Medicago truncatula: one gene and its partners. The protein of the gene in region 3 binds, or shares a complex with, the protein of the main gene of each other region. Links are inferred from orthologs where the notes say so. Each region holds a gene or a part of one and is shown on either strand. Other genes may lie near its edges. The genes, in order: 30S ribosomal protein S6 alpha, chloroplastic; 30S ribosomal protein S31, chloroplastic; 30S ribosomal protein S17, chloroplastic; rps8.

The links.
Region 1: 30S ribosomal protein S17, chloroplastic (region 3) and 30S ribosomal protein S6 alpha, chloroplastic share a complex: the UniProt entries of both Arabidopsis thaliana proteins name them as parts of the 30S ribosomal subunit. The link is inferred for Medicago truncatula from reciprocal best matches to the Arabidopsis thaliana genes RPS17 and AT1G64510.
Region 2: 30S ribosomal protein S17, chloroplastic (region 3) and 30S ribosomal protein S31, chloroplastic share a complex: the UniProt entries of both Arabidopsis thaliana proteins name them as parts of the 30S ribosomal subunit. The link is inferred for Medicago truncatula from reciprocal best matches to the Arabidopsis thaliana genes RPS17 and PSRP4.
Region 4: 30S ribosomal protein S17, chloroplastic (region 3) and rps8 share a complex: the UniProt entries of both Arabidopsis thaliana proteins name them as parts of the 30S ribosomal subunit. The link is inferred for Medicago truncatula from reciprocal best matches to the Arabidopsis thaliana genes RPS17 and rps8.

The regions. Positions count from the first base shown.
Region 1 is NC_053049.1:46,338,344-46,345,229, forward strand, and holds 30S ribosomal protein S6 alpha, chloroplastic, read right to left. Parts: upstream 2,077-6,886; 5' UTR 1,970-2,076; coding exon 1,622-1,969; intron 1,187-1,621; coding exon 947-1,186; 3' UTR 727-946; downstream 1-726. Other genes in the region: uncharacterized protein, read right to left, coding at 3,812-3,979, 4,542-4,597, 4,727-4,822, 4,897-4,953, 5,260-5,376, 5,518-5,634, 5,763-5,879, 6,663-6,886. UniProt on the Arabidopsis thaliana protein: Binds together with bS18 to 16S ribosomal RNA.
Region 2 is NC_053045.1:4,921,377-4,927,888, reverse strand, and holds 30S ribosomal protein S31, chloroplastic, read right to left. Parts: upstream 2,515-6,512; 5' UTR 2,467-2,514; coding exon 2,295-2,466; intron 2,186-2,294; coding exon 2,121-2,185; intron 1,117-2,120; coding exon 982-1,116; 3' UTR 854-981; downstream 1-853.
Region 3 is NC_053043.1:49,900,974-49,906,666, forward strand, and holds 30S ribosomal protein S17, chloroplastic, read right to left. Parts: upstream 1,592-5,693; 5' UTR 1,553-1,591; coding exon 1,097-1,552; 3' UTR 824-1,096; downstream 1-823. UniProt on the Arabidopsis thaliana protein: One of the primary rRNA binding proteins, it binds specifically to the 5'-end of 16S ribosomal RNA. Required for optimal plastid performance in terms of photosynthesis and growth. Required for the translation of plastid mRNAs.
Region 4 is NC_003119.8:40,465-46,712, reverse strand, and holds rps8 (ribosomal protein S8), read right to left. Parts: upstream 986-6,248; coding exon 581-985; downstream 1-580. Other genes in the region: rpl36 (ribosomal protein L36), read right to left, coding at 41-154; rpl14 (ribosomal protein L14), read right to left, coding at 1,671-2,039; rpl16 (ribosomal protein L16), read right to left, coding at 2,165-2,575, 3,624-3,632; rps3 (ribosomal protein S3), read right to left, coding at 3,771-4,415; rps19 (ribosomal protein S19), read right to left, coding at 4,856-5,134; rpl2 (ribosomal protein L2), read right to left, coding at 5,306-5,734. UniProt on the Arabidopsis thaliana protein: One of the primary rRNA binding proteins, it binds directly to 16S rRNA central domain where it helps coordinate assembly of the platform of the 30S subunit.

The DNA of each region.
Region 1 (6,886 bases), on a different chromosome or scaffold from region 3:
AGACCGAGCTTAGAAATAACAAAGAAAATCCTTAGTTCTAAACGGCAAGGTTGTGGTATTAATAGTATCAGAGAGGTAATGTTAGTTTATTCATTCACAGATAATAAATGGTGTAGTGCAAAAAAAAATTGCAAGCCAGCAACCTAAGCTAGCTAAAATCTAAATCTCTCTACAGAATTTAGCATTGTGTGTTGTGCAATTATGTTGATGGTAAATTGTATTTTTTATTTTTGTGTATTTTTTAAATGTGTGTAAGTTGTAGAAGTAGAAGATTTAAAGTAAATGACAGATAGAGATAAATACAAACGGTGTCATAAACGATTTTATATTTTGATATTCAAGTAACGAAGATGCATGCATTTTCGGCGTCACAATCAACATGCTAGTGGTAAAGTGCACATCTATACTACGGCAAAAATAAATATAAATTATTTCCATTTGCTATGTAGCAGTTCCCTCCTGCTACTGCTATGACTTTATCATCCGGTTGAAAACCAAGGAACTCCAGTCGCTTGTAAGGTAAATTTACAGGCCATTTGATCCATTCTCTTGTAATTTCTTTTTCTAATAACTTTTTGTAGAAATGCATTTCACCTTCTCAATTTATGAAATTAAGCAATATTATTCTCCAATTCATCACTAGTCATTGTAAACTTTCTTCCTAATATGATTTAAGATAACAAAATGAACTTCTACCTCTAAATATGAAAATTTAGACTTGATATGTGAACAACCGAATGGCAAATTGGCTAATATATAGCACTTTGTACTAGGTGTTATAACTCTGCAGACTGCCAGTAATAGCACCTACATCTCTCTTTTAGTTTAATCCAACCTTGTTACAAAAATACTTGAATCCATATGAAAATGAAAGAAAACATACCACAACAACAAATGATGATTGTTACATTCTTTTTTTCAGAGCTACTGGAGATGCCAAAATAAACTAACATTTCCTTTTTCTGATTTTGAAGCTTGTTGATCGGATAACATTATCATCCCTCAATAATGTTTGCTCAAGGGCGGTTATGGACTCAGGCTTCGTGAAGTAGGTGAATAGGAGGTAGATGCCATCCATATACGTGTTGGTTTCTCCTTCCTTGTTTTTCTTCTGGATGTTATATGCTAGTGGAATAACACCTCTGTTAAAAACCTCTACATACATGCCACCTCCAGCAACAAGAAGCTGCACGAAGGAAAATCGTTAGGATTAGTGTTTTATTCCAATTAGAAAAGAACAAAGCCTATCTGCCTATGTTTTCAGAAGAACAAAGCAGAGAAATGAAATGAAATGACTGTGTAAAGTGTTTGTTTTGAAAGAATGGAAACAAGGTAACAAATCAAACAAACATAGTGAATGCAAATAAAATAATCACTGAATCATGTAGTTAGTATTGGTGTGATACAGAATTATACTGATTCATGTACAGACAGCCCTTAGCAATTGTATGTTTGTTGATACGAATTCTCAGTTTGCGGATTGATTGCAATTCTAACAAATACGGTCGCCTCTAGTATAGTATCACACACATATATAAAACCTACTCATCATCAAGCTTCAAATGGATTAACTTAAGAAACAAAAGGTAAGAGAAAGAAGTAAAAAGGTTAAGAATTTGACCTCCTCGTACTTCTGGGTGAGTGCAAGACGCTCATCCTCAGACATGTCAGGCCTCAAAACAACCATGGTTTCGTACTGTCTGAGTCCAGGTGGACATTGCGGTTCTTCTTTCTCTTCCACAGCAGTGAACCCGGTTCCGGGAGTAACCGGGTCATCACCCGAACCAAATCCACCTTCAAAGAAAGAACCAGAGAAGTCTAGGGTTTGTGATTTAATGGAAAAGTTGTTCCTGTTTTGGTGAAAGTGGGAAATTGATTCAGGAAATGCACGAAATGGTGAACATGTGTGAGGAGTGCAGAGATAAGAAGAAGATGAGAGTGGAATTGAATTGAGTAAAGAGGATGCCATTGATGCTTCTGCTTAGGAGAAGAAGAAGATGAACTGTTAGCGAAAGAACGGATAAAAAAAAGATAGAGTCAGATAAGGCCAACTCAGTGCGTGCACACAGCGCAGTGTAGAATTCACTCGGTATAAGAAAAATTAATTAATTTTTTTTATGAAAGAAAGAAAAATTAATTTTAAATAAATTGATTCTGTAAATTTGATTTTGATTTGTTTTGTCAATAACTCGTCTAAAAGGAATAGGCCACAAGAGATGTAGGGTTCAAAATCTTACCATACCCTGTTTTACAAGATTGACATGTTGAGCTGTCAATGTTTTTTTAAAAAATATTAATTAAAAATTTCACATAAATAGTGTAAAAATATATAAACTTAAGTCAATTTAAGGAAATCTAAATGTATAATGACTCCTCTATAAATATGAAAATAATTCAAACATATAAATTGCATCATCTAAATAAAAATCAATAATAAATCAATAAGACATTCAAAATAAAAATTTCATGAGTTATCAATTGATTAATCGTAAAAAATATGAGGCTAAAATCATGAAACAATTTAGTAATCAATTGACTAACCGTTAAAAATATGAGGCTAAAATCATGAAACAAAAGTGATAAATAAATTGAACTTTTTTCCCCAATATAGGAGGAGAAAATTGAAAAATTAATTATGAGTTGTGACTTTTATATAAATAAAAAGAAGTAAAAAAGAGAGTTTGTTTTTAAATGTTAATCTAACGGGCCAACCCACCCCACCTCATCACCGCCCCATTTTTTAGTTGATTAGGCGGAGCGAACACCCCACGTAGCTGGTTCAAAATCCCAACTCAGCTCGCTAAAAAATGTGGGTTAAACAGGTTCAACCCATTTTATCATCCCTAATTAAAATTGAGTTGAAGTTTTTTTTTTAGGAAAAAATTGAGTTGAAGTTAAAATAATTTCTATTTAGATATTTTCTGCTAATTTATATTTTTATTATATTGAGAATATTATCATGAATTTTATATATAACAATTCTCCAAATTATCATTCAAACAATATAGTTTACCAAAATGATTTTAATTCATCCAAAAAGTATCATTGTTGGGCTACCTTTATGAATTCTATTTTTTTGGGCCAATTAACAGATTTCAAAATTTGTAAGGGGGTCAAACTATAATTTTGAAAAATTTTGAGGGGTCAATTGTCGTTTTAAAAAAAAATCAGCCCAATTTGCAACTTTTTTTGAAATTTTTCAGGGGATAATTTCAAAATTTTGAAAAATATGGGGATCAACTTGCAAAATTTGAAAAATAAAATATAAGAAGGAAGAAATTTGAAATTTCCTTGCTTTTGGACATTTGAAATTCTCTAAATTTAATTTTTTTTTTTGTGGGGTCCGAGGTTTGAACCTCGGACCTTGCATATATTATGCATTGTCCTTACCAACTGAGCTAAATTCACGGGGATTCTCTAAATTTAATTTAATACTTTATAAATAAACATAAGGGATCAAACATGCAATTATGCCAAATAAAAATAAAAGTGAATGGCAAGATGCAAAGGAGTGTTGCTTGGCCACTGAACCATCATAGCTCTCCATCCTTTTTTCATTTCTAATATAGACAAATAGTAATCAAATTTAGCTGACTGTCTAGACGCTGGCCTGCGCGAAACAACAGAGAACAACACACATCAGCTCATGTATTTGGAAATTGATGGGAAATGTTTCTTCTGCCATTTCAATCTTATATGATTATGTTGTATAAGGTATATGCCAAATGCCAAAAGGTTGCAGTAGGAACATAAAAACATCTAGGATGGCATCCTGCCTTAAGTGATGAGGAAAAAATAAATGCATTACCGGTCAAAATCCAAGGTCAAAGCTTGGGAACGCTTCTCTTTCACTCGAGATATCCTCGGCACTCTGTCCTTCATTGGAAATAGGGCAAGAAGAATCGCCACCCGGACTTGATAATAATAAGTCAAAATTTGCATCACTGATATTTTCCTGAGCTTCCTTTTCTGAGTAAGGCTACATATACAATTTCAAAACCAAGTATATAAATTTGAGACAGCTGATGATTTTTCAGTATATAGAAAACAAACAAAATTCATAGAGCAAAAGTCTTTTTCTCCCGTTGCCAAACAACGCGCCTTAGAGAAGTTCTCAGCTATATGGAAAGCATGAAACTAATGCCATAGAAATCACATGAACATTCTGCATTCTAGCTGCCACTATTATCATTACAATCCGACTAATTGTACTCTTGGCCACTTGTTAAAAAAATTAAGAAATAGAAAGTAGAATAATGCTAGCAACACATTTTCCAACACAATTTGATTGGTCAATATTCATATGGAACCCACATGATATGGTGGGAACCATGTGAATTTTAACCAATCAAAGAGTGTGTTGCTAGCACCATTCTAGAAAGTCACTTAATAGGTCTTAACTTTTTGTTTAATACTTTTAAAAAAATCTCAATCAATCCTCTAAGAAAGAATTAATATTTGCCTTATGACGTCTAATCCACAACAGAAAGCAATGATATGAAATGGCATCTTGAGTAAATGCAAACAGATAGAGAGTAGACCTGGTGGGACATTTTGACATTCCCCGTGAACTGGAAATTACCATCTACACATGTTGCTGCAGAACCCAAATTAAGTAATGTTAACGGGGCTACTAACATCACAAAAATCAACAAGAATAGCTAATAAGATTTTCCCAAAATAAAAATAAAAGACCAAGAAATCAAATAAATCCGTCATGACTTGCCTTTGGTAGATGTAGTGCTAATATCAGGGGGTTTCATAGTCTCTGTTGATTCCCTATCCATAATATTTTGATATGATCTACTGGGAGACCGGCTACCTATAGAAATCCAACATAGTCACGAAATTATGACCTAAAGAGAGCTCGATATCTAACTAGGTTATGTGTCTAACCTGCGACATAACATTCATGAGGCTTAGGGTCTTGTAAAAAGGACAATATTTGATTGGCTGCACAAAAACCAGAAATCAGTCAATGTTCATGAAGTAACAAACAAATAGTGAATTGACATATTGAGATCAGCAATGTTGATGAAGAGCCCCATGTTATATCAGAGGCATTACATGCCTGTGTTTTTTTGTCGCAGAATGATCGGTGTGATCCAATTTTACTTTAGTAAGCTCGTAATTTATCTTATGTTAGAGGGTAAAAGTATAGTATTGCCAAGTTATATTTTGATATTTTCCCTCAATATGTAAAATTAGAGATGCCTGCCGGCATGAGTATGGAACTCAATCAAGGCCAGAGGTACGGACCGTCACGTATAGGCTTGACTGCTTCGACTGTCTTGTTTGATTTTATTACATCTATCTTGGCAAATGGAGAGTTCAAGCCTGTTTCTCGCCGAAGACAAGGCCGGCTCAGAGGTTGTTCTGCATGATATAAGCCATAAGCAGATGAGAGTACTAAAAAATCAAAACCTGTCCAAAGCTCACTCGTGCTTCCTACTAAAGAGGGGAGAAAGAAGTAAACGAGGGAGATTAGAATCGAGGCCAGAGGTACAAAGTACGAACCATCATGTAAAGGCTTGACTACGGGGACTGTATTGTTTGCTTTTATTTCTTCTATCACTGCAAAATGAGAGATCAAGCCTGCACCTTGACGAAGACAAGGCCTGCTCGAAGGTTGTCCTGCAATATATAACCAATAAACACATGAGAGTGAAAAATCAAAACCTGTCGACATCTCATTGACATGCTTCCTGCTCATGGATATAAGAGTACACCATGATGTAGGCCTGCAGGTACGAAGTACGAACCATCATGTAAAGGCTTGACTACTGGGACTGTCTTGTTTGCTTTTAACTCTTCTATCACTGCAAAATGAGAGTTTAAGCCTGCACCTTGCCGAAGACAGGGCCTGCTTGAAGGTTGTCCTGCATGGTATTAACCATAAACAGGCGAGAGTGAAAAATCAAAACCTATCCACATCTCATTTGAGACAAGCTTCCTGCTCATGGTTATCACTACTTATCAGGGTGCACCCAATACCAATAGCACGACGCCTTTAGTTTCTTTTCATGTAACAAGTTAATTTCACTTGACTATCCAATATTTTGATGAGAATTGGTTGGAACATGCAAGAAAAAAATTGTTGAAACTTGAATCATGTGATTCAAATTGTTGATAATTTTATTTTTCATGGCAGTGATAATAAATTATTAATCACATTGATTCATGCATGTATAGCACATTTGAAGTTGTTTGTGATTCATCACATGAAACCAATAAGTAAATTGCTACCTCTTATCAAATCATGCTATTCAAATAGTCTTTTATTTCTAGAGACAGATTAGGTGCTTTTTATCTTAGCTTCTTTGTCTCTTGCGATTTCACTGATTTTAAGGAGGTTTTTTTCTCTATTTCTAAATGATTATTATTTAATATTTATTCTTTTGCATTCAATTTCTGAGATAGATGGGTGTCATTAATGGGTAACAATGAAAAGACAAGACAGAAGCTTATAAAAAACACATGAAAACTAAATGAGCAAAAGGACTATGTGAGGTCAACGGAAATTTCTGAGCTTCTTTTTTTTTGGGTGGTTATAATACAACGGGAATATGTAAGTTCAAAACAATCAAAAGACATGCAAAGAAGTACAGAATCGCACAACAATACAATGACTTAGAGAAACTTCTGAATAACCAAGGACTAACCTTTAGCAGTAGACGGATGGAGCTCGCGGCAAACCTTTTGTACATGTCTTTGTTGTGTCTTAACAACATTTTCACCACCACTCCCTAGTTCACTCAACTTCACTGGAGATTGATGACTTCCCTCAGGTTCTCCAACATCAACTAAATGTCCAGCAAAATATACTAAGGAACCAGCTTTTATAACTTCGTCTTTCTTTAGAAACCTACGTTCTAAAGGTCTTTTG
Region 2 (6,512 bases), on a different chromosome or scaffold from region 3:
AATGGGAATTTCAATGTGATTTGAGCAAAAGCACACTCTGGCTTCAAATATTGTTATGAACTTCCAAACCGAAACACAAATTCAAACCAAAGCTCGAATCTTTGCAAACCAGCATTATCCAGTTCAAATAACAAAGACAGATATGTGTCTCTTCTCTTCATAAACAATAACAAACTTATACTATCCTAATATCATTAGATGACAAACAACAGGAAGAAGATGAAGCTAACAAAGACGATAAAAACAGATGCAACAATTTCTGGTGCATTTAAATCTGCCTGATCTTTTCCTTTCGATCTTCAATGGTAATAAACTAGTCGGTATCTTCATCTCTCTTCTAAGTTGTTTAACTCTAACATGTCTAAAAGTATTCTAAGAAGACAGTAACAACCAAAGTCTTGGGTTGACAACATGAATCAAACAACACCATAAAAGTATAATGCAAATAATGAAAAACCATGCAACATATGCCCGAAATTGAGCGCATAAGAGTGACTGTGTAACAACAGCATACACGTTGCAGAAGCAAAGGTTTAATTCAACAAACATGACCTTTCCAACATTTTTGGATTCTATCACTCTACCAACGTTCCTAACCATTTTTTCCCATAGGAAACTTTTGTTTGGTTGTTAGACATCTACAACAGCACAGATCCTAAGGAGAAAAATCCACGACATCGAGGTTTTTGATGTCTTCCCAACCACATCGCGACAAAAATTATGACCGAATTGGCAGTATTTGCCTACAACTTTTTCGCAAACTGTGACCAGGATTTTAAACCTCGACTATAAGAGTGTTTCCAATCCCACCCTCAATACGATATAGCAAGAGCTTACATAATAGAGACTAAAATAAGGTTGCAAAGTGAACTCAAATAAGGATAACAAGCAAAATCCAAATAGTATATGCCAAATGGAATCCATATGTCAAAAACTATAAATCATGAAACTCTCAAAATTACAGTGCAACACTAAAATCAACTAACTAGGAAAAAGGGATTCATTAATTTCAATCTCAATCACTTCCTTATCTTCAAGCTTCTCTTTCTTGGTAGCATCTGGTGGAGCATAAATCCTTGGTGGTCCTGTACCCTTGTTCTTGTTCCTCGGCCTTGCCTGATAACATCAAATAACATATTTTTCAAAATAACCTTGGAAGTATTCACCACAACATCCACTACAATTTCAACAAATATCCACGACAAATAATAAAGATTGAATATGTTTTCAGTGCTTTAATAATTTCGAATTTTGTTTTTAGGATCAGTATTAACCTTTCAATCCTACAAATTACTAAAATGTATGTTTTTAGTCCCTTTTTTAGGACAAAAAAATCGGTTCAATGACTAAAAACAAAAAATATAAATTATAAAGACTGAAAACACATTCAACACTAATAATTTAGCAAAACAAAAAGGGAAGAATTACTTTAATGTTAATATGAATCACATCCAAAAACAATTTTGATTCAAACAATTTCTTTTCTTAGTTGGGGTGCGTCAAAGAAATGGTATAGTGCCACTCAAAGCAACGCGCGAGAGGCAAGTATCGGTGGAATCTCCCCATCAAGAAATAAATTTAACATCATGCTTCATTGGCTCACATATCAAATATTAAACTGATACGACACTACACTTAATTCAATCAGTCAAACTATCCAAAATAATACTATGAATTAAGAATCACTTGTTAAGTCAAAATAAGATAAGATACTACACTTGATTCTTAAAAAAAAAAAATCACTTTTACAGCAATGTATGTGTAAAACATGATAAATTTAACATCATGCGTCAACAAGAAATAAATTTAACATCATGCGTCATTGGCTCACATATCAAATATTAAACTGATACGACACTACACTTAATTCAATCAGTCAAACTATCCAAAATAATACTATGAATTAAGAATCACTTGTTAATTCAAAATAAGATAAGATACTACACTTGATTCTTAAAAAAAATAAATCACTTTTACAGCAATGTATGTGTAAAACATGATAAATTTATGATAAAGTCACTTTTAACTAAAATCAATTCTAACAAAACTAATTCATGTTGGAACCAAACATACACTCAATAATTGAAATAAGTGGGGGAATTGGGAAAAAAGAACATTACATTTCCAAACGAATGGCTGAACCGTTTGCCCTTGGCAGTTTTCCTATCACCTCTGCCACAATACACTACAAGAAAACAAAAAAGAACCAAAATCAATAACTGGGTCATCAAAATTCAAATACAATAAGCCAAATTCACAACAAAATTTCCATTTTTTTTGGAGAAAAAAGTTACCAGAAGGGGTTGGTGAAAGAGACAAGGTTGAAGAGAGGGTAGGGAATGATGAAGTGATGAGTGGTGAGTGAAGAGATTGGGATTGAGAGAAGGAAAGGTGAGAAGAGGAAGCGTGGAGTTGAAGAGAGAGTGGAGAAGGTGATGCTAGAAGCAGTGATGATGCCATGGCCATAACTGAGAGGATAGATAACGAAGGCACTTTGATAAGGTTGGTTTGATTGAGGAATATATGTGCTGCGATTTTTTAGATCCAATGGTTTAGAATGAACATCTAATTAGTAAATTACATCAATGGTCAATTTTAAATATTGTCCATTTTTCATGAAATTTCAAATACTTGTCTTTTTTTTTCTTAATTGCACTTTTGCCCTCTTATATTTCCAAAACTTGCGATTTTAGCCCCCTAACTAATAAAAATACAAAACAGCCCCCTATGTATTGAATTTTTGGCAGTTTTGGCCCCCAAGACCACTTTTGACTTAGTCTTCGCTGACGTGACATCCACAATGGTCGACACGTGGCACCTCACTTAAGGGATGTGGATGCCACGTCAGCGAAGACTAAGTCAAAAGTGATCTTAGGGGCCAAAACTACCAAAGATCCAATACATAGGGGACTATTTTGTATTTTTATTAGTTAGGGGGCTAAAATCACAACTTTTGAAAAGATAAGAGACCGAAAGTGCAATTAAAACTTTTTTTTTTCTCTTCAAAATATATATTTTTTTAAAAGAAATATTAATTTTTTAACCAAAAATTAATTTGTTTAATTGAGATATTTTAATATTACTTTTCTTTTGAGCTTGAAACATATTTGGGAAAATTCTACAAAGAGAGAAGATTTCTCTTCTTTTTCTTCTTCAAACTCTTTACCGCAGCACACTTAGTCTTTTTCACTTTTTCCTTACAATCCAAAACTTTTTTGTTGAAATGTAGATCCTTTGACTGGTGGTGCAATCGCCCTCCACCGTCACGACATATGTTGGGTTCTTTCTTTATCGCGCTTTAATGATTGGTTCCTAATCTAAAATGGTGCCTTCGATATGAAGTTGGGTTCTCATCCGTATCTACGAATCTCGATGGCTTTGTTTGTTGCTAGTTCGCTCAACTTTTTAGCCGCCTTTGGTTCTTGTGTTTCTAAGTTCCTGGATTCTTTGTTCAATACGAATTAATTTTGCGTTGGATCTAATGTTAATTCATATATGGGCTTGTTGTTCATTGTCATTTGTTTTAGTGATCGCCATGTTGGTTTTCCTTGACCAATGTTGCGCGGATTGATGTCTATGTGAGTTAATGCTCACATGTGCTGCGTTTGAGTTATTGTTTTCTTAATTCGAGTACAATGTGTGTCATGTGTTTTGGGCTTGAAGTTGTTGATGCTTTGTCAAAATTCGTCACAGGTTTATTTAATTTTTTTTTCTTTGCAATTTGGTTTTGCACTTGTGTTGCAGGTATGTTGGGTTATGCAACAAGTGTATGATGCTTCGGGTTTGGATTATGTTGAACCATCAGTTATGGTGATTGTTCTTATCCCATTCAAGATCGTATTTTCTATTCATTACCCTTTAGGATAGGTTCGATACCATCTTTGTGTTGTATATTTGTTTGTCAGGGATGATTCGATCACTTTTGTGTGGGGGTGTGCATAAACCCTTGTCCTGCCTAAAACCCATCCAAACGTCAGCTTTATGGGGGAAACAGTCGGGTTTAAAAGCAAATCGAGTACACAATTATGGATTTCAACTTTTCAAGACTTCGATTATTACTTGTCTTGCCTTGAAACTATAATTTGACACAAACATTAATTTTTCTTTTAAACTTTCAACACGCAAACAATATTTTGTTCCACTTTTCTTTTATCTTTAAAGTTAAACAAACTGTATTACATTTTCAATTCTAAAAGAATTTCAATTTTCCATTCAAGTTTGGTTTTGTGTAAACCCTTTATTTTGAAGATTTCTTATTTCAACAAAATTTACTTGCTCTCTTACACTCAAGGTCGTCGCGAACATCCTCCACCATGTGACGAATGCTTACAATGGCTTTGCACATGTGCTACGATATATTGTCCACACAGAAGAAAAACTACCGATGCAATCTTAATCCTCTTCGAGTGGCGTCGACATGATGATGTCGGTGAACCACCTACTAACAACCGGTGTGGCTGTTTGAAACTTGAGAAAAGGAAAATGAGGATTTTCTATGGTCTCAACTGAAACAAACTTCCCAAGATACCCGTCACCCATCTTACCCGTCACCCGAATTACCTGTTGTCTCATTCGATCAAAAATGGTTTTGTTTCTGATCTCTTATCGACACTTTGGGGCCTGAATTTGACCGAAACTGTCTATTGCTCAGCCCTACTTTTGTGTGGTTATACTGGGTCGGGTTTTTGCCCCCAGTCTTTTGTACTCTTTTTTTAGTTAAATGAATTACTTTTCTTTTTCATAAAAAAATCTAATTTTTTTTAGAAGTTTTTGGATAGGATTTCAATCCACTAAAGTGAGTAAAGTGAAACTTTTATCAAAAAAATAACCTAGTTGTACTAGAAAATACTATAATTGTTCTTAGTTATTATTTACACCTAAAAATAAATAACTTGTTAGATAGAAATACAACTGAATGCAAGTTAGTCAAATATTTTATTAAGTCTACTTGGGTCCATAAAGGTTGTGCAATGTTAGAACTAGTCAAAGCTCAAGGGAACTTAAAAATTTAGGATCACTTGGATTCGGAAATTGAAGGCCGTAGAAACCCATAGAGGAGATGTCTGTAAATCAATGTCTTCTTCTCCCTTCTCTTTTAATTCTCGCAAACTATTATTTGATATATGATAATTATTGATTAGGTAAATTGATACTTGATAAGTGAGTGAATAATTTGAAATTCCTTTGTGAACAAATTTTGTTAACCTAAATTGAGACTTCAATCATTTTGAATTGTTGATATGAACACTTCAATCTAATCATCATATATCAAATACTATTGTCTCCTGTGTTAGTTTTTGTTCTCATCCAATTAGGTTTGATTTAAGATTGGATTGTCTTTTATATCTTGATTGTGTATTAGTGATTGTTTGAATAGATATAATTCAAGTGTGAATTACTTGTTCAAATTTGAATTGTTATTTATATTAAAAAAAAAAATTTGAATTGTTATTTGTCATTGCATACTTTAGCAGTGTTTGGCATCACATTTTTTTTCACGGTGCACGCTACATAATGTCACTTTTACAGTGATTTTATGAAGCTGAAAATTCCAGATTTTGCCTAAAAGTGCTTTTTTGAGCTTTCCACCGGTATTCCAAACACATACTTTATATGATTGAAACGATTGTCAATTTCCAATATTCAAACTCAATTTCGTTTTTCAAAGAAAATCTCAAAACCATGTTTTTGTTGGGTAATCTATTCACCCCTCTAGATTATCGTTGTACATTTCACCAACATGCATCAGGTCACTTGATAAGTGTCAAATTACTGTTATTTTCTATAACACTTATCAACTTGTTTTGTAAGTAATTCAGTATAAAACCCCCAAATTTGATATAAATATCATTTATATTCGTAAATTGTGCCACAAAGATATTACTTCTATTTCCCATACATTTTTATAGGTTTTGAGCATGACTACACCAATACAGAGTAAAAGAAGGCAATCACACGCGCCAGAAGCCAAGTCAGAGCATCCCAAAGACATATGGTGAAAAACACGATCTCTAGGCGAGCTTGACATGGTGAAAGCGAGCCAAAACAATGAGTTCCAAAAGGAAAAGCCAAATATGATTTGCTAGGCAAAATTGGATCCGCTAAGTGAACTAAGGCGGTTCAAGAAAATATCTAAAGACTGTTGGCTTTTCCCTCCTTTGAAGAAACCTTGATTTGCTAGGCAAGCTTGACTTCAAATGATAACCTGCACCTCTATTTGTAAGGGTTCTGAAATTCTAAAACCAAACCTAATAGAGAGGGATTCTGACTCTAAAATGGAGCTTGACTTCGGTATGCAAGGACATGTTTGCCTAGCGAATCTAATTTTTTTTTTCGAAAGTTAATTTTTTGCTTCAATTCGCTAAGCGATGTTTTGTGTGCCTAGCGAGGGAAGAAAAACCGAACATTCATAGAAATTAAAAATGTCCGCCCATTAACTCAACTTTATGTCATTCAACATACCATGGCTCAGGGAGATTCCTATTCTTGAATGACTTAACCATTTAATTAAG
Region 3 (5,693 bases):
AAGCTTCAGCACAACAAAACAGTCAGAGAACATTGAAGAATCCTGGTTTTGCTTGTCACTTTTCTTTTTGAAACCCGGCACGGTTAGAACAATTCTTCCACAAATCGGCTTAAAAAACTCATCAAACATTATTTTAGTAAAATATAGATGTTTGATGACTTTCAAGCAAATTTATTTGACATTTGAATCCCATTTCAATTGGAAGTGATAGAACATAGTTTTTTCATGAGATATTTCTAACTTAGAGTAAAAACACTTTAAGTAAATAAATCATTTTCCTTTAAAGCCAATTTTGGTCAGATTAATTACAAACTCTAAGATAATTCAAAATCACATTTGTTAAACACTCACCCAAACACACGATCAACACCCAACCTACAGCTAAGAATTCGGGCTCTCTGCAATCAGAGTATCTATATCCTGACATGTGATGTAGAATGGACAATTCAAGAGCACTCCTCTTTGGAGGAGGATACTCCTGCTCCCGCCGGCACTTATGATCGCAGGCGTATGATGTGTCCGACACAACCCCAACACATGTGATTACATTGAATTGTGTCAATGTGTCAGTGTTGCGTCTGGTGTCCGTGTTTGTGTGTCGCGCTTCATACTATTAAAAATCTATTAAGCCCATTTGGATTGACTTATTTTTTAGCTTATGAAAAATAGTTTATGCAAATAAGCTTTATTAAAATTGTATCTTCATAAGTTGTTTTTTCATAAGCTACCTAAACAAGTTTATGAATAATACATAAAAGTTTATTTATTTGTATAAACTGTTTTGCTTGCATATGCTCAAAAATAAATCAACCCAAACGAGCCCTTCATCAAACACATATCCATTACACTAAACAATAAAATTCTCAACATAATTACACAACCATAGCAATTTCACAATTGAGGGTTTATCATAAACCACATCCAACATTTCAACAAACACCCACAAAGCAACATTAATCAAATAATAATTTTTCATAATAACAATAACAAATTAACAGCAACAACAATAACAACATCAATTTCTCAATTCCAATTTCATCATATTAGTACAAAAAATAAAAACACAACAAATTAAAGAGTGAGAGAGACTGCAAAACTAAGCCTGAGTCTGAGGCTGTTCTTCTTGCTCCGATTGAAGCGGAATGTCGAGGTCACCGGAAGAATTATTAGCCTTACCAGAATTCCTAGCAGGAACAGGAACAGCAAGAAAAGTCTTATTCTTACTAATAGGTCTAATTTTACAAAGCTGAACAACATCACCAACTTTGAAAACGTTTTCAGGATCATGAGCCTGATACTTCTTCTTCATCCTAATACGTTTCTTGTATTTGGGATGAGGTGCTAAACGAGTAACTTCCACCGACACTGTTTTGTCGTTGGTAGCGCACACAACTTTTCCTTCCATTGTTTTCATAGCTTTGATTGATGGAAGGGATTGGGGTTGGGATAGAGAGAGTGTGGATGTGGGCTTTGAGAGACGGGTGAGGGCGACGCCATTGTTGCCGTTGAGGAATGGTGTTGAGAGCGTGCTGGGAAGTTGCAGAAGCCACATTGTTGTGTTGTGTTGTGTTGTGTTGTGAAGAGATAAGAAGAAGATAAAACTAAATCTTTTATAGTGATTCATTCTCTTTATTTCTTTTATTTTATGCCTTACTTGTATTAAACTTTTATTGGCCAATTTTACCCTTCAATAACTATTAAAATAAGAAGTTGATTTAATAAATCATATAACTGATTCATTAAAAATAGGCTAAAATATGGTTTTAGTCCCTGCAAATATGCCTCGTTTTGGTTTTAGTCCTTGGTAAAAAAAAAATTTGTTTTTGGTCCCTGCAAAATGTTTTGTTTTTGAAAATAGTCCCTTGCAAGGACCTTTTTTAAAAACAAAATATTTTGCAGAGACCAAAAACTACAAAATTGGTTCAGTGATAATATGCCACGTATGCAAATCATCACAAAAGTGGGGTCAGGGACTATTTTCAAAAACAAAAAATTTTGCAGGGACCAAAAACAAATTTTTTTTTTACCAGGGACTAAAACCAAAACGAAGCATATTTGCAGGAACTAAAACCATATTTTAGCCTTAAAAATATGAAGAAACAAAGTACAAAAGATAACAAATCGAATCTATAATGATGTATGGATGATTGATACGTTCAAATATCAAGATAATTATCTAGGTAAAATCCTAAAAGTATAAAGAAGTGATTCTCTCAAATCTCTTCGATGAGACAGATTAGTCACTTTGTATACAAAGATATACAAGAGATACTTGTACTTTATCATATGTATCCTCACAACGGTTGTATATTTTGTTGTAGGTGGCATTTAACCTGGGAATGGATACTTCTTTCCCACCATGGGAAAGGTTCATTTCCCAGTACAGGTGGCTGTCTCAAACCTGTTCAAAAATATAAAAAAAAATGAAAATTAAATTAGTTTTTTAATCCTTTTTTGTTTTTTCTGGTACATTTGCTAATGTATAACACAGATGAATTTCATAACACAAATTACCTCACTCAATAATAATGTTTAAACTCATTTCATTCAACATTCATCATGTTTCCTTATAATTCCGGGACAGTAGAGGCTTGGTGTTGTTGTTGTTATTTGGTTTTTGCGGTACCATGACTTTAGGGTCTCGTGCTACTGTTCTTAGGTTTCTTCTCCCATTTGATATTGCTATAATTAGGGACTGTTATTGGCACTTGTAATGTTTCTTCTCTCCTATTATGCATAGCTTGTGCAGTGAGTGTTTGTTAATGATACGTTTGTTTAAAAATAAAAAAAAGGGTTAAGTTACGGTAATAAGGGGATGATACTTTTATTGAATTTCAAAATCTGGAAATACAAATTCTTAAAAAATGAATGAATAAAAATGAAAATGAAGATGATGATTTTAGGTTGTTGTTGTTATCATTGAGGAACCATGGATCTTGATGATGAAGAGTGGATATAGGATATTTAGTGATGATGGTGAAGAATGATGAAGAGTAGATCTATGATTTTGATTGTTATTTTTTGAGTTTTAATTTCTTACTGTTTTTTTTTTTCCTTCTCTTTCTGAGTTTGATGTTGATTAATGTATGAAGATGATGATGAAGGTAGAAAAGAGGAGGGTGGAAGAAGAGGAAGAATGGTGAAAAAAATTAATTAAAAAAAACAATAAATCAATAAAACAAATGATAAATTGTTATTTCATCAATGGTGGGTCGTTTTTTTTGGTCCACCATGTAACCATCAAAAAGTTACAACAATTACCAAGTCATAGATCTAAGCCACCCAAATAAAAAACTATTAAATCAATGGTTGTGGTTAAACTTTCCCATGATAGGAAAGAACTTCCCTTTTCCATATTAAACTTCACCCTTGTTGTATTCTCCAACAATAGGATTCTAGAACTTATATAAACAAAACCTACTCGCGTCGAGAGAGTTGTTGTTGTTGCTATCATCACTTATGTTTCAATCACCATATCATTTTATGTGAAGATCAACAATTAGTGTTCAAAACACCCCACCTAAAAGAAAAAAGCTTATATTATTATTTAAAAAATAAATCTAGTTAAAGCCAATAACATGATTTAGGAACTTTGTGAAACGTCCTCTCGAGTGAGAATTGTCTAGATCATTTGTAAATCAATCAAGAAGATAGAAGTACTCTTGAATTGAGACATGATTTTTATGTAATATCCTCTCTTAGATAGTTATCATCCTAGAATGATTTTGTATTAGTCATATACGAACTCAAACCCCACTTTACTTTGCACCCATTTTACTATACTGCACAGACCTTAAAGACCAGACCTCACTTGGTGTGAGATGACGGATAGACTTAACTAAGTCATAACCATTGTTGGTAACTCATATGGTTATGCAACCGGGTAAGTGATATGATCAACGTGGTTGGAAAACCGGATAAATGATGTGGTTATCATGGTTGGTAACATGGTAAATGATAGGGGTGATGGATTTTGACAAGATTGATGCTTCGTGAAATATTGGGGTGGATAACTCTTGAGGAGATTATAGTTAAAGAAGTCTCTCTTGTTGAGATGACAAAATCACTATGGATAAGGTGGACTAGCTATCAGATTGACAGTGAACAAGGATGAATTTGGTGTATCCTCTCTCTCAATGCATATGTCGAGTTCTTTATAGTTTAACTTCACATTGTCTCTTTAGTTTTAAAATAAAGTATTTTAATAGATAAAAGAATTATTGTGTTCAACTTTTAGTAAACAAGTCGACTTAATAGAAATGGTTAAATTAAAAAGAAAAAAAATCGGCAACACGATTCAATCTCCCCTCTCTTGTGTTCTTTACCCACCTTCAAATGTGATCACCATAGATCATTGAAATTGAACTGACTTTCTATCTCTGTTAACAAAATCATATGTTGACGTACTTCTTTATACATCATAAGTTAGTATTGTAAGATTCACTTCTCTATACATCATAAGTTAGTATTGTAAGATTCAAATTTGAATGAGAACTTCTCATTCTATTCGCAAAACATAGGTTGAGGTTTTTTTCATTTTTATTCTTCTCCGAGAGTATATAAAAAAAAGAGTAATGATATTTGAACAACCTTTTAGTGACAACTTTTGTGACAACCTACCTTTTCTCTCTTTTTATTGGTCAAAAACAATAGAGAGAGAGAGAAAAAAAAAAAAAGGGAAGAGAGAGAATAAGAAGATAATGTGATTATGAGAGAAGGTTGTACAAAAGTTGTCATAAAATGGATGTACAAATATCATTTATCTAAAAAAAAAATGTTAACGAGTGTCATCGGAATACTTTTTAAACACCTTTAATAATAAGTTTTTATAAAAATCTATATAATTAATGCATTAGAATTTGTAACATTTGATTTTTTTTAAAGAATATTTTTAAAATTTGGGATCTCCCCAAGACACTCGTTAACAAAATCCATAAAAAAACTAAGTGGGAATTGTTTTTAAAAGACAAGATTTTCATGATTTTTTTTTTGTCAATCCATGGTTTTAAAATAAAAAGTAAATTGTTGAACAGGAGCTTCAATTTTCAAAATTTAAAAAGAAGTGGATATTGAATCTGAAACACAAAACAAGTCAAACCATTTTACTTATATTTTCCAACAATGGGCACTGATACCACTTGAATATGTTGGAAAAACACGACAAAAGGGGATTTGAATTATGTTAATCATTTTAAAATCTTTTCGCAAAGACATGTGTTTAGTTAAACCATAGTCGTTTTTCAAATTAATTTTAACAACCACGTTAGTTCTTATTCAAATCATTTAACTCCATGTGCAATGCTTAGATAAAAAGGTGAAGTTAAATCACAAAGAAGCACTGCTTAGTAAGTTTTTGAATAAAAGAGAGTAAGAGAAATGAGATGACACAATATGTATATACTAGTTAATCATCCAACGATAGCTAGTCCAACCCATCCCATGAGATGCACTTAATACACTACAGATTGGAATGACAGTTGAATCTCTTGTCCCACAAAATATACCCACTTGAAGAAAAACTTAAAATTAGGATGGAATTTTGGGTCAAAAATATTTTATGTCGCAAAATCATTTATTTGGGACAAAATAATTTATGTCGCAACATAGTCCATTGTTCTCACGATTTCTATTCTATATTGGTAAAATTGATCGGACCCTATTACCCACTTCATCCCAAAAACCTTTTAAGTTAT
Region 4 (6,248 bases), on a different chromosome or scaffold from region 3:
TACTTTCTTTTTAATAGAAAGCCCTTTTTTTGTTAAAATATTATCCTTGTCTTTGTTTATGTTTTGGGTTGGAACAAATTACTATAATTCGACCTCGCCTGCGTATCAATCGACATTTTTCACAAATTTTACGAACAGAGGCTCCTACTTTCATATTTTTAAATTAACTCCTTAACTAAAATGGAATGCCAAATCTATATATTCGAAGAAAATAGGTTTTCCTTACATTTTTAACTTATAATTGTGCCTCCTAAAAAACATGTTTAAAGTTAAAAAATTAAATTAAGTGACTTATACTTCCTTTTTCTCCTTTACCGGTCGTATACATTAAGTACGTTCAATTTTTTTGTAAACATAGCCTAGAATTTTATTTAAATTCTATTTCTCTAACATGGAACATACCCTCAGAAGTTATTCAGTAATTTAATCTTCATGAATTTTTATTTCTATTCTAGTTAAATCCTCTTCACACATTCACTAAGGTATCAGGAGTACATAGTAGAAATCCATTTTTTCTCTACTCCATTTACAATAATGTATATAATTTTTTCATAGAAATCGGATATCGGCAAATTTACCATTACCATATATAACATAAAACTTCGCCGCCGATTCTTTCTAATCGAGCCTCTCGATCTGTCATTATACCCCTAGAAGTAGAAAGAATTACAATCCCCATTCCTCCTAAAACTCTCGGAATTTGTTGATAGTTAGAATAGATTCGTAGACCAGGTGTACTGATCCTTTTTAAATTTAAAAAAGTTTTATACGATTCTTTCCTATTTCTTCTATACCGTAGAGTTAAAACTAAAAAGTATTTGTTGCTTTCTCCATGTTTTCTAACGTTTTCAACAAAACCCTCTCGTAAAAGTATTTTCACAATGTTTTCGGTGATATTAGTAAGTGGTATTTGAACCGTTCTTTTTCGATTCATGTCAGCATTGCGTATCAAAGTTAGCATATCAGCGATAGTATCTTTACCCACGATAGATTATTGCTCCTTACTTTCGATATAATAAACGTGCTCCTGTTTTTTGTTTTTTTTTTTTTTTTTGATTCAATAAAATATCATATATTGAATATGAGAATATAATAATACTATATATAGATAGAAAATTCTAATTAGTCTAATCAGTATAATGTAAATCTATAATATAGAATATTCTAAAACTAAAAAAAGATAGAAAGAAAATGAATGAATGACCTATTATAAATTATAAACTAGATAGATAATATTATATCGAATTCAGAATTCTATTTGTATTTTGTATAAAGTATAAAAAAAAAATACAAATAGAATTCTGAATTCGAATTTGTATTTTGAATCTATCTATATCTATATATATATTCAATATATATATAGATTTCATTCCTTTTTCTTTTTTTTTTTTCATCTATTATTATTATTTCGTTTTAAAAATATTTATTAATTAATATAATGACTTACTATTTCTAATAACTTATCGATATGTATACTTTTCATATTTATGTAATAATCTTAATATAAATATTCATAATTATAGAATAATGATTACACAAGTATATAAGGTATATATGTGAGATCTAATATATTTAGGACTCTATTTCACTTCTATTCAAATATATATTCAAATAGATTTCCTTCCTATTCATTCCAGTCCTAAATAATATATCTATATCACGATCTCGTATTATAATACCTCGGGTGCTAATGAAACTATTTTAGTGAAATTTAACTGTCTCAATTCTCGGGCTATTGCGGAAAAAATTCGAGTTCCTTTTGGATTTCCTTCTTTATCAATGAGAACCGCCGCATTATCATCATACTTTATTATTATACCATTACTACGTTTTAGTTCTTTACAAGTACGTACAATTACAGCCCTGATCACTTCAGATCTTTCTAAAGATGAATTTGGTACTGCTTTTTTGATTACAGCAACAACAATGTCACCAATATAAGCATACCGTCGATTACTAGCTCCTATGATTCGAATACACATCAATTCGCGGGCTCCGCTATTATCGGCTACATTTAAATAGGTTTGAGGTTGAATCATATCATTTTTTTCTATCTTTCAGTCAAAAAGTTGAAGTAAAAAAAATATTCTGTGTTCAAAAAAAAAAAAAAAGAAACCAACAATTACCATTTTTTTCATACTAAAGACCTATTTCGTTCTAATGATTATTCTGAAAGAATGAATTGAGTTCGTATAGGCATTTTGGATGCCGCTATTGAAATAGCCTTTCTAGCTATATTTTCTGGGACCCCTCCCATTTCATAAAGTATTTTGCCGGGTTTAACGACAGCTACCCAATATTCGGGAGATCCTTTTCCCGAACCCATACGCGTTTCGGTAGGTCTTACTGTAACAGGTTTGTCTGGAAATATGCGTACCCATATTTTCCCACCTCGGCGAACATTTCGTGACATTGCCCGTCGCCCTGCTTCTATTTGTCTAGATGTGATCCAAGCGGGCTCAAGTGCCTGAAGAGCATATTTTCCGAAGGAAATTGTATTACCTCGATAGGCTTTTCCTTTCATTCTTCCTCGATGTTGTTTACGGAATCTGGTTCTTTTGGGGTTATAGTTGATGGTTATTTCTCAATTCCATCTCTATTACAGAACCGTACATGAGATTTTCACCTCATACGGCTCCTCGCGAATAAATCGATTCAAAAATATTTAACCAAAAAAAATTTAATTTTAAATTACAATATTAAATTTAAAATAGAATACAATCGCGGGATTTTTTGACATATTAGAAATTTGTATATCTTGCTTTGATATAGAACCAAATATGGATTCTTATAGACCATTTTTGCTATCCATATCTAACTAGATAATGTTGTTTTGATATAAGGTTCTAACGAATCCATATTTGTCTTTTTTTTTTTTTATTATCATATTGGCAAAAATTTCTAAATTCAAAAAAATCCACATTTTCGCGGGCGAATATTTACTCTTTCATTATAAATTTAAGATGTAATGTTGGGTTAGTCCACAACTCCTCAAAAAATAATGAATTCTTAGTTCCGTCCGCCATCCCATCTAATGAATCAGTAAGATTATGAAATTTAATATAATCTTAGGTATTCACAGGTTCCATCGTTCCCATCGCTTTTCTATTTATGGTTAGGTCTAAATTCTACAATGGAGCCTCTTTAATATTAATAAGATTTTATTTTCATAAAATTTTCTTATTTATTTTATTCTTTTTTGTTGAATCAACCTTCTCAGTTTTATTGATTCGCAGCTCTTGATTTGTCTATTCTACGAATATATTCATCCATATATGGATGAATTTAGAATATTGATGCTTTATTACACTACCTTTTACGAAATGACCCATAGACCTTTACATAGTCGAATTCTATATCATTGATATCTTTTTTTCTATCTTTCTTTCACCCCTTCATTTATCTGTATATTCTTATTGCTTTACAACTAATAATCAGATTCTTTTTTATTTCAGTTGCTATAATTATATCACCACATAGATCTTTATTTTGATTTTCTATTTTCCGCGGTTCTTTATATCCAGATAATGGTAAGCGATGAGTAGGTTATTAATTCTTTAGTAATTAATTCTACGAATTCTTGTAGAAATTTAACCACTCTAAAAAAAACCAACGAGTCACACACTAAGCATAGCAACTCCTTTACTATAAAATGATTAATCAATTTTTTTATTCAATCTTATAAAATTTGTCATTTCTTTTTTGGGAATAAGAATTCGTCATTTTTTCTTTTATCAAAAGATGGAACGCTAAAAATAAGGAAAAGTAAATTAGTCGTTGTTTAGAAATATCCAAACTTTGATTCCTAATACCCCATAAATAGTTCGAACTGGATAGGAACAATAATCAATTTTAGCTCGAATGGTTTGTAGAGGAACCCTACCTTCTCTAATCCATTCGACACGTGCAATTTCTTTTCCGTCGATACGTCCCGCAATTTGTACTTGAACTCCTTTTGTACCTGCCTGTTCAGCTAATTCAATAGCTTTTTTGATTGCTTTCCTAAACGAAATTCTATTCTTTAATTGTCCAGCTATAAATTCTGCAAGAATATTAGGGTCGCTATAAGCATTTGGAATTCTTGTACTTGTAATGTTAATTTTTCGCGTCACACAATTAAGTTTTTTTTGTACATTAGTCTGTAATTCTTCGATTCTTCGAGGCTTACCCTCCGTTAATAACGTTGGAAGTACCATATAGATTATGACTTGAATCTGATCGATTGTTTTTTTAATCTTTATTCGTCCAATTCCCTCGACACCGGGGGTTTTTTGTATATAATTCTTGATACAATCTCGTATTATTTTATCTTCTTTTAGATTCTCGGAATAATTTCTTGGTTGTGCAAACCAAATAGAATCATGATTTTGAGTTGTACCAAGTCTGAAACCAAGCGGATGTATTTTTTGTCCCATAATTCCTCACTACTCTATATAAAATAATACGTCTTATTTGTCTACTTTTTTATCTATATCTTTTTTTTTACTTTTTTTATATAAAAAATATTATATATCTTTATGACTCATTGACTTAGTTCGTTGAACTATATATTGTGACTAGCATTTTCTCCTGCAGAATAAAGCAATTCAAAAAAAAAAAATAGAATAATATGCTCAACTCCATAAAGCATAATTTCTATTATAATAACCCTTTAAAAATAGAAATATTATGAATTACGATTCGCGCTTTGTCTTGTGAATAGACACAAATATTTTTTGACCAAAGGCTTATACTTCTATGTATTGGTTCTTCTTTCTCCTAAGGTTATATTTTCACGAAAAAATGAAATGAGTTTATTAATTAATATTTATTTATTAATGACTATTAGTATACTAAATTTACCTTAAAATTAATGTTAACGATTCGATCTATTATCATTTTTCGCATACCCCCGGAAGTTTAGAGTAGGTGAAAATTCTCCCAACTTATGGCCTACCATACGATCTGTTATATAAATAGGTAAATGCTCTTTTCCATTATGGATAGCAATGGTATGGCCAATCATTGTAGGTATAATGGTAGATGTTCTGGACCAAGTTATTATTATTTCTTTTTCTCCTTTTGTGTTAAGCTTATTTATTTTTTTTAATAAATGATTTGCTACAAAAGGATTTTTTTTTCGTGAACGTGTCATAGTTAATTATTCCTCTTATAATTTCTAAAAAAGTGAATTTTTTCTCTTATATTTTAAAAAATAAAATTATATAATCTCTAAAAAAACAAAATCAAATCATATAATGTCATAGTAAATCACTCTTTTCTTTTGTAAAGACGAAGAAACAAATTCTATTTTCTCTACTCTAGACTATTTACTACGGCGACGAAGAATCAAATTATCACTATATTTATTTTTTTTTCTACTTCTTCTTCCAAGTGCAGGATAACCCCAAGGAGTTGAGGGTTTTTTTCTACCAATCGGGGCCCTCCCTTCACCACCACCATGTGGATGGTCTACAGGGTTCATAACTACTCCTCTTACTACAGGACGCTTACCTAACCAACGTTTAGCTCCGGCTCTGCCCAAACTTTTTTGGTTTACTCCAACATTCCCTACTTGTCCTACTGTTGCTGAGCAGTTTTTTGATATCAAACGGACCTCTCCAGAAGGTAATTTTAATGTTGCCGATTTCCCCTCTTTTGCAATCAGTTTCGCTACAGCACCAGCCGCTCTAGCTAATTGTCCACCCTTTCCAAGTGTTATTTCTATGTTATGTATGGCCGTGCCTAAGGGCATATCGGTTGAAGTAGATTCTTCTTTTTGATCAATCAAAACCCCTTCCCAAACTGTACAAGCTTCTTCCAAAGCATACGGCTTTCTGGATGTAGATTATGATATCTATACAGCTGGATCTTATATATATATTGTATAATTCTTATATTATGACATAACGAAGTACCACATGAGTGGGTATATAATATAGGAATCTAAATCTGCCAAATCAGTCATGTTATGATATTCTACATCCTAGGTCTTTCTGTTCCTTCATCTGGCTTATGTTCTTCATGTAGCATTCAGACCGAATGACTCTATGAAATTACGTTGCTACTTACACATAGTACAGGTAACGTAGGAGACATTTCTATTTTTCCCGGGGGGAATCTTTAGAATTACCACTGCTTAGCTTTCAATTTGCCTCTGACCATCAAATGAAATGTGAATAACCCGTGTCTTCCCCCTTTTGAAACGAAACAAGGAGAGCTTCGTGTTCTGTCGGTGCTTGAAACAATTTTGTCTTCTCCATATTACT